2 linked regions of the Daphnia pulex genome follow. The protein of the gene in region 1 binds, or shares a complex with, the protein of each later gene. Links are inferred from orthologs where the notes say so. Each region holds a gene or a part of one and is shown on either strand. Other genes may lie near its edges. The genes, in order: gamma-tubulin complex component 3-like and nucleoside diphosphate kinase 7-like.

What was found.
Region 2: gamma-tubulin complex component 3-like (region 1) and nucleoside diphosphate kinase 7-like share a complex: the UniProt entries of both Homo sapiens proteins name them as parts of the gamma-tubulin ring complex. The link is inferred for Daphnia pulex from reciprocal best matches to the Homo sapiens genes TUBGCP3 and NME7.

The regions. Positions count from the first base shown.
Region 1 is NC_060018.1:811,217-815,491, reverse strand, and holds the start of gamma-tubulin complex component 3-like, read right to left. Parts: upstream 3,000-4,275; 5' UTR 2,921-2,999; coding exon 2,845-2,920; intron 2,742-2,844; coding exon 2,368-2,741; intron 2,307-2,367; coding exon 2,204-2,306; intron 2,136-2,203; coding exon 2,017-2,135; intron 1,955-2,016; coding exon 1,798-1,954; intron 1,728-1,797; coding exon 1,167-1,727; intron 1,106-1,166; coding exon 931-1,105; intron 868-930; coding exon 527-867; intron 468-526; coding exon 247-467; intron 190-246; coding exon 85-189; intron 17-84; coding exon 1-16. Other genes in the region: motile sperm domain-containing protein 1-like, read left to right, coding at 3,164-3,293, 3,379-3,729, 3,793-3,957, 4,022-4,053; tectonin beta-propeller repeat-containing protein-like, read right to left, coding at 4,246-4,275. UniProt on the Homo sapiens protein: Component of the gamma-tubulin ring complex (gTuRC) which mediates microtubule nucleation.
Region 2 is NC_060026.1:2,936,949-2,941,216, forward strand, and holds nucleoside diphosphate kinase 7-like, read left to right. Parts: upstream 1-1,442; 5' UTR 1,443-1,692; coding exon 1,693-1,764; intron 1,765-1,853; coding exon 1,854-1,967; intron 1,968-2,026; coding exon 2,027-2,193; intron 2,194-2,264; coding exon 2,265-2,426; intron 2,427-2,489; coding exon 2,490-2,697; intron 2,698-2,763; coding exon 2,764-2,857; intron 2,858-2,937; coding exon 2,938-3,071; intron 3,072-3,131; coding exon 3,132-3,227; intron 3,228-3,297; coding exon 3,298-3,405; intron 3,406-3,465; exon of another isoform or gene 3,466-3,509; coding exon 3,510-3,548; 3' UTR 3,549-3,877; downstream 3,878-4,268. Other genes in the region: uncharacterized protein LOC124205225, read left to right, coding at 55-57, 122-185, 250-342, 408-1,021; 5'-nucleotidase-like, read right to left, coding at 3,878-3,987, 4,056-4,199, 4,263-4,268. UniProt on the Homo sapiens protein: Possesses an intrinsic kinase activity. Displays 3'-5' exonuclease activity with a preference for single-stranded DNA. Does not seem to have nucleoside diphosphate kinase activity.

The sequences.
Region 1 (4,275 bases):
TCGATTTGGATTTCCCCTGTAGGCAAAAGACATTCAACAGTTGAACTAGAACCCCAAATCTGCAACCTGTTGATTTTGGTTTACCTGTCGTTTTTCAACTTCGAGTATGGCGGCTGAGAAAAGTCGCTCTTGAATTTGGCTGAATTGCAACATGGCTTCATGGATGCCCCTCAAATGATCCCGTATATCCTGGAACATAATGAATTATAGATTCATTGGAATCCAATAAAATCTAACTATTTCTACCTTTGATTCTTCGTCGAGGAGCGCACGGCTGGTCACCGTCTGCAAAAAGTGTTCGTGGGCCGTCAAGAGTTGATCCATGGTTTTTGAATTGCGTAAGGCGACGCTGAGCTGCTCCCAGGCGCAAGCCACCACCTCGAACGACAGGTAATGCGACATTTCCTGGGCGAAATGAATCATTTCGGAGAGCAGCAACTGGGCTTGATGCAAGACTCCTTGAACCTCTGCAATCACACTTTTTAGTCGTTAAACTTCTTTTTATAAATCAAATCAGAATTCCAACCTAATAAGCCCCTCAGCTGCCGTCCTTCCGTTAGCTGTTGATGGCGCAATTTGGACATGATCCATTCCATGCGCTTCGAACGCCAAAGGGCGTAAAAGAGAGTCTCGTAACGAGTTTTTACTTCAGGTGTGAGAATAGTTCCTAGCGGTCCGTCTACTTTGTAGTCGAGACTAAAGACATCCCATCCGCTGTCACCTTGCGACGGTTCGCTGATGCGCACATCAAGTCGTTTCAAAACATCCGCATCGTCGTACTGGCTGTTGGTGCAGCGAATGCACTTGTCGAGAATGGACGCCAACAAACGGCTCATTCGTGTGTTGGCAGGCTTGTCCAGCTCGGGCCTTTAAAAAATAATAATTCCATGATTAGTGTTTTGACAAAAAGTAAATAAAATTGGAGTTTACTCGACAAGTTTCATCAGATGATTGACAAAATCTCCCTGGCCAAGTAACAGATACTGACGAAGGGCGCACAAGTGGAGTTTGATGTGATAGCGGTCCAGCAAGACTTGCAGCAAGTACTGAGATGCAGTACTGTAAGCTTCTTCTATGGACTCCCAATCCAAGGAAAGCAACGATTCTAAATGAAAGGAAATATTTCAATGAAAATGAAGTAGATGTCTCAGGAAATCATTTCATACCGCTACGTTCTTCAGCTGTACGACGAATCTGGTTCAATCCCGGTATGGGGCTTTTATCCAGGCAAATCTCGCGCAGGAAGCAAATACTTTTTCCGGTGGTGGCCACTTGATGGCCTTGCTCTTGAGTGAAGAAATTAGGCACCATGATTGATCGTTCATAATACTTGTCATTCCATAAACTGCCGGGATCGACAGCCAGGTTCACGCCGATGAAGAATTCGCCATAAGGATCGCGGAGTTCGCCCTCGAACGTCCAAAGCATCAACATCTCGTATAACGGACGACACACTTGGACGAGAATTTTCAACACGACAGTTTTCAAGGTGGCGTTGCCTTGTAAAACGAAAGAGTGAATAACTGAAGCCAAAGCTCCGCCTCGTTGACCATGGCACGCTTCCACCAAAGCGGCCAAAAGTTTCATCCTGGCTTTAGGTTCTTTCGTCCATACTAGCAGCCTCTGGAATGTTAAGCCTTGCGTCTCGACTCCAACGCTATCACCTGTTCTAGCAGTGTGTACTTCCATCTGCGATTGAAGAACTGCTAGCAGTCTGTAGTACTCACCTGAAACAATACGTCAACACAAATGTTTTTGTAATAGTTTAATAAAGGGCTCCATTCAAGATTTACTGACTCAATTCTTCTTGTAAAGCGGCGGCGAAAGCCCTCGCGGCTAACCCACATGTGGATTCCGTTTTTGGGGATTCACAATACTTTTGAACTTTGTAGAATAGCCAGCCCAACTCCACCAAACTGAGTACCATCTGCTTCAGAGCTTTTGGTAATTTTACCTTAATAGGAAATGGGAAAAATTAAAAATAAATGTGTAGAACAGCTGTTTGTATATAGTTACAGTTGATTTAAGGTGAAGATTTTCATGGGTTGCATCCCACTGGAACACTTGTCCTTGTATTCCCTGGAAGGCATACAGGATTTCTCTAAGTAACACTTGGTTGGAGACATCTGAATGACCTGTAAAATGAACAAAAGTGAGATTGCTAATTTCTGAACTATGTGTGTTATAAGCTAAGAGTATGTACCATAAAGTGTTGTTTGTGGTGCACTTTTCTTGCTTGATGAAAGAGAAATTAGAGGAGAATAAGGAATTTCTGTATTCTTAGGTGTCTTGACCATTGTTGTGGTCTAAAAACAAAGAAAATTTTGATTAAATGTGCAAGATCTCTTTCTTTAAACTCAGTCCTACATCAGTAGTAAATGATGCCAATGATGGTAGTGTGAAAGAATGACGAACTACAGGTTCATTAGCTGCTGAAGGAGGATTCAGAGCCAAGTAGTACATCAATTCCAAAACAGCTTTTCTGTTTTTAAGGATGGACTGAAGAAGATGTAAACAATTAATATTTAAATAAAATTTATGTTGATGGTTGTCACTTACACTAGCAGTTAGCCGGGCATAAAGTTCATCAAACTTCCTAGCATCTTGATAGCGTTCCTTAGTACCCAGAAGTTTCTTGATACTTTGGACAATGGAAAACTCTGTTTCATGGGTTTGGGATGATAAATGTTGGGACGACAGCAACTGAAGCGCGAGTTTGTATTTTGTTTCATATTCTTTACCTACGAGTAACCCAGAAAAAAAGTACTGTCAGAACTGAACACACAACAAAATCAAGCTATTTTGATAATAGCTAGCATTAAATAAAAACTGCTCTTTGAATACTAGTTTCTGAAGACTTTCCACTGCTCAAAGATCTGCAGAGTTTCTCGACGAGAGCTGGAATTGTATTTTCATCCATAATTGAATTTTGTCAAACAAACTGTTGACCTGTTGTCGTATTTTTTTTATAAACAAAATTCAAAAAAGAGTCTACTGCTTTCTTGGACTCCGTTGGTGGTTTTTAAACTCATCGTTAGATGGCGTGTTCTTTGTTTATGAATCGTCCAACAAGGACAAAAAAGAGAGTATTTCTCGAGAGACTGCGTAACAAAAATAAAGATTTGAGATCATATTTAGTGGGTCATTTGTACATAAAGTGAGAATGACGGAGGTGAAACGGTTACCAGTGTTTGTTTTCCCAAGTTCGCTCAATTTCTTCGCTGATGAGTCGTCTTCACATAAACAAATGGTCACTGTTTACAACCCATATGATTTTGTTGTAAACTTCAAAGGTGCGTTGTTAACTGATACCACTTTTAGTATTAGTCCTTGAAAATTGCACTGATAACCTAACCTTTTTTCGCATGCTTTTGATAGTACTGTGTAATGCTCCACACAAGTACCAGATTGGCGATCCTGAGGGTTCTATAAAACCTCACTGTTGTATGGATATAGTAATACGACACATTTCTATTTTGCCAACTTGCTACCATGTTACGGACAAGTTCAGGATTCAAATGAATGAACACAACAGCAGACAGTTGTTAGGGAAGAAAGATATCCCAGTTATTTTATTACCAGGAAAATCGACAGGAATCTCAGACTCAACTGCTACTAGTCTGGATAACTTCAGACAGTTCTCCACAGATGTACCGTCAGCCTCTTCTAGTGACTCAAGCTCCTCAACTATGCAAATTCAAGCTTCCTCAAATAGCCTTGGAAAATTAGGTTGTTGGAGATTTATTGAATTGTTGTTTTCCAAATGATTTTACTAAGCACATAATTTTCTAGGTTATCAAAATGCTGGACCAAATTATATTGCCATTGTGGTGGCAGTTGTTTGTATTATAGCTCTAATGTTGCCTTCAAATGAAGCTGAAGGTGGCTCGTCATCCTCTGTTTGGTCAATGTTTCACTTGTCTTCACAACAGAAACTGGTATTTGCCTATTCTCTTGGTAAGTGTATTGGAAATTTCAGAAATTGAGTCAGTAATTAATTTTGAATTTTTAATGTATTAAGGTCTGGTTACAATGGTCATATTTCGGGTGTAAGCCTTCTTCCTGTGAGAAGTTCGAAGTACGCAATGAATGCGCACCTTTCTGTTCGCCAACTTTGAGAGATATGAACGTCAATGAGATTCCTTGAAGTCGGCTTAAAGTAACCATTCAGATAATTTATGAAGTAAATTTTAAAATTGGCTGGTCTCTTTTGAAAATTTAAATGAAAATTAAAACTAGCGAAAATTAATATGGAATGTCGTGCCCCCGATTGCA
Region 2 (4,268 bases), on another chromosome or scaffold:
CTTTCCAACGTAGGCATCTTAATGCTGGAGCAATTCCCAAACATTTTCTCATAAATGGTATGTATTTCCTTTCCTGTAAAATCTTTAATGTCACACAGAAACTAAACCATTTTCATTTTAGATACAATCTAGCCGACAAGCAATGCAAAATGTTGATGGTTTTAAATGGAGAAATAACCTTAATGGTATTTTTACATATGTTTATTTTGTTTAACATCAAATAACGCTATTCTTAAATATGTATTGCAGTGGAAGCAAATGCTAGCAATGCATCAGTAAGGAAACGACCAAAAGTAGACAAACCACCTACTACGTCAAAGAGAAAAAAAGTTGACAGTACAGGTATTGATAATAGTTCTCTTTACATTTTATTTTGAAGAGCAATTGCTTTAATTTTAATCTTATAGCACCCTCCATGGAAGTTACCTCTACTATTCAAGAAACAATCGACATTCACCAGGCTGCTGAAGAAGGAATTGTTGATCCACTTCCTGATTCAATCAAAGAAAATCTTGCTGTTGTCATTGAAGATACGACAGTTGCATCGCCTTCTATGGAAGCTACCTCTACTATTCAAGAATCAATGGACATTCCCCAGGCTGCTGAAGAAGCTATTTTTGATCCACTTCCTGATGTAATGAACAAAAATGTTGCTGTTGTCATTGAAGATTCGACAGTTACATCACCTTCTATGGAAGCAAGCTCTACTAATTTCAAGTCTAATTTTGTGACATTTCAGTCACTAGTAACTTTATCAATGATACCAAAGAATTGGATATGGTCTTTTGATCAAATCAAACAAATGATTTATTGCATTTCGATGGATCAACTACCAAATGGAAATTATAATGTGAAAAGTGTACATTTTCAAAACAAACAAGAAGTAATGTATTATGTCAACAGAAAGAACATTCCATCAAGCACTACTGCTTTGTCAAACCATTTCACAACAGTTGAAAATATAACGCAATTGATAAAGGATTTCAACGATCGAAAAATTTGTTCATGCATTCCTCATTAAAGGTTCATAAATATTAACCTTTAATCTCGTCTTTCTGGTATATTGGACTCAGCTGGCGTGTTAAGATCGAAATATTGCAGAAAGAGAATAAAATTCAAAGTAACTAAGAATAAAACGTACCATGTATTTACACCACATTTTTTTTTTACACAACCAAACAATAAAATGTAAAAATGTGAGGACACTTAAAAAGATTGGACACTTTGAAGTTAGATAAAACTTAGAGGTTTGACAGTTGGATACTTCTCCTTTTTATTATTGTTTACTTCTTGTAGAAAAGTAAGCTGTGATTGGCCAATGAGTTTTTCATAGACCCTTCCTGATTGGCTGGCTTCACGTAGTAGCTGACACACTCACTAGAGGCGCTCATTCATTCTTCCAAATCGGCTTACGTTTACCCTGAAACCGGGATAGGGAAGCCAACACAGCCATGAACTGACCAGGTATCTATAGCTCTGCTATGGTTGCGTACTTGCTTTAACTACTTTCGAACACAAATGCGTTTTTTAAAATCCGGCAGCGTGGCCCTGTCAGACCCAGAAAACGTCTAAGCGGATTATTTGGACACGAGAAATTCGATAGAATTCGAATGATTCCTTAAACCAACCAGCAGTTTACGGTTTTATTTGTTTGACGTTTATTCGTGTTTTTAGATTCATTATTTGACCTTAATGTTTTACCCTTCTCGTACCAGTGTACTTGCTTTTGTCGCTCTCATTGCTGGCCTCTACCTCGCCCAACGTGTACGAACTTTTTTTATTACTTCTCTGTCACTTTGGCTGTGCTGTTGTGCTGCAAACTGATTGACATATTCATTTGATTTTCACTGTAGAACACAATGGAGGAAGAAAAATTCACCATCAGTGTAGAGTGGTATGATGACATATCTTCACTGGTGCGTCCATTTGTCTTGTTTTACTACCCCTCAGACAGGACAGTTGAAATGGTAAACACAATTGAAGTATACAAATAAAACTTTTAAATAATATTTCTTTTATTTAATAGTATGACAGCAAGCAAAAGAAAACATTTTTGAAGAGATCATTCTGTGAGACAGTGGCAGAAATCGATTTGTACATTGGGAACAAAATTTCAGTTTTTGGAAGAGAACTGAAGCTGATAGAATACCTCGACAATACAACCAAAACTGAATTGGCAAAGAAATCAGAAAGGTATGTAAAATGGTTATCTCAGTTCAGTGCAATTTTGTGATCAAGTGTAAATGAACTATAAATGTTTCCAGGACTTATGCCATGCTCAAACCTGAAGTCATTGAGCAGATGGGAAAGGTCCTATCCTTTATTGAAGGAAAGGGATTCAGATTCAACAAACTGATGCTGACCAAAATTGGTGCAAATAGAGCAGCGGAATTTTACAAGGAACACCAGGGTCGAGCATTTTATGAGTACGTGTGCAAATCACTTTTGTTAAATACGCTTTGATCATTTATCGTTTATTATCTACACAGAAAACTTGTAAATTACATTTCGTCCGGTCCTGTTCTCGCCATGGAACTGTTGGCCCCGTCAGCCATCAGGTATTGGCGAGTAAGTTTAGGACCAACCGATCCAGATGTGGCTCGCAGTGATGCACCCAACACACTTCGGGCCCTGTTTGGAAAAGATACTACATATAATGCTGCTCATGGATCGGATTCACCAGAAGCTGCTGCAAGGGTAAACTGTTGGTCAAAGAATCCATTGTGTGTTTCTTAATATTAAGGCATGTATTTCTCTTTCTAGGAGCTCAACTTAATATTCAATAATTTGAATAGCCATTACGAACCTTCCTACATCAAAACTTTGTGCCTTGTTAAGCCACACATTCTCCAAGAAGGTATACATTTTAAACTAGTGTTTTGCCATTCGCTATGGGAAACCAACGACTTTATCTACGTGTACCAATTATTTTTGCAGGGAAGTTGGGCGCACTCATCGCTGCCATTCAACAAAATAACTACAGAGTTTCTAGTCTGAAGCTTCACAGAATGAGTTTAACTGAAGCTGAGAAGTTCTTTGCTGCTTATAAAGGAGTTTGGGATGATTACCCGGTAATTCAATTGATCCTCTCTCCAATATTTTATCTTTAATCGAATTTATTTTCTTATCAGGCCCAAATCAAACATTTCACTTCAGGACCAGTCGTGGCATTGGCTGTAGATTCTGATGTCAATACATTCAGAGAATTTGTCGGTTCATTTGATCCGGTTAGTTTCATTTAAAAAATTTCTTAATTCTAAGTATTTTATTAACATCCGTTTTGTCTTTACTCTCTAGAATACTGCGCGGAAATTACATCCGTCGTCCTTGCGAGCCCGATTCGGACATGACATTACACATAATGCAATCCATTGTACCGACCTACCCGACGATGGTGTACGAGAGGTATGTAAATTTAACTTTTTTGTAATTGTGTAATTGTTATTGAATGTATAAATATTTTTATTTGATGATTTAAACAAATGTTTTTTTATTTCAAATTGATACAGGTTGAGTTCTTTTTCAAGGATGTTGGTGGGTTCCAGTAAAATAAAGGCAATATTGTGGACCATAATGCAATAACTGAACTCGTAAGCACCAAAACGGGAAAATTTCGGAATCGGGTAGAAGTAGGATAAACTAATGAAATTATGTGGGTGATGAACATCTAAGTGGGTATTGAACTCATCCTATAAAAAATTTGGGGGAAAAAATACAGCAATAATAATAACAAATATTAGTCTCTCTTTTTCCTGTAAAATCATTTAGGCTATTGGTGAGCATTGTGACTCAAAGCTTCAGTCAGGCAAAAAGAGTGCAGAAGATAGTGAAAGAAAAAACCCGCGACCGATTTGTTAGCCACACATTCTCACACAGCCTACCGAACCAACGATAAGAGGGATCCTCTTCTGTCTCGCAGTTTTGGCCATAAAAATTTGTAAGCGGCAAAAGCCATACCAGAGAAGAGCAGCGTCAAGAAGATAGTCACTGTTGGGTGAGATAGCAGTAATTAGTTAGGTTAATTAATAATAAGCAAAAATGGTTGTAGCACTCACAAAATACTGTTCCAGTGACGTTCGTATTCGGGCAAACCGTTGGGTTGTCAGTGTTTGAGATAAATTTCACTCTCCCTTCGTTTCCGTAAGTCAGTGGTGTTAATTTTTTTATGTACTCTCGGAGAAAAATTTCATCGCGAACGCCTGCCGAAATCAATTGAAAGTTTAGTTTATGATTACAAAAGATTACGAATGATGTCGACTGACCAGTGC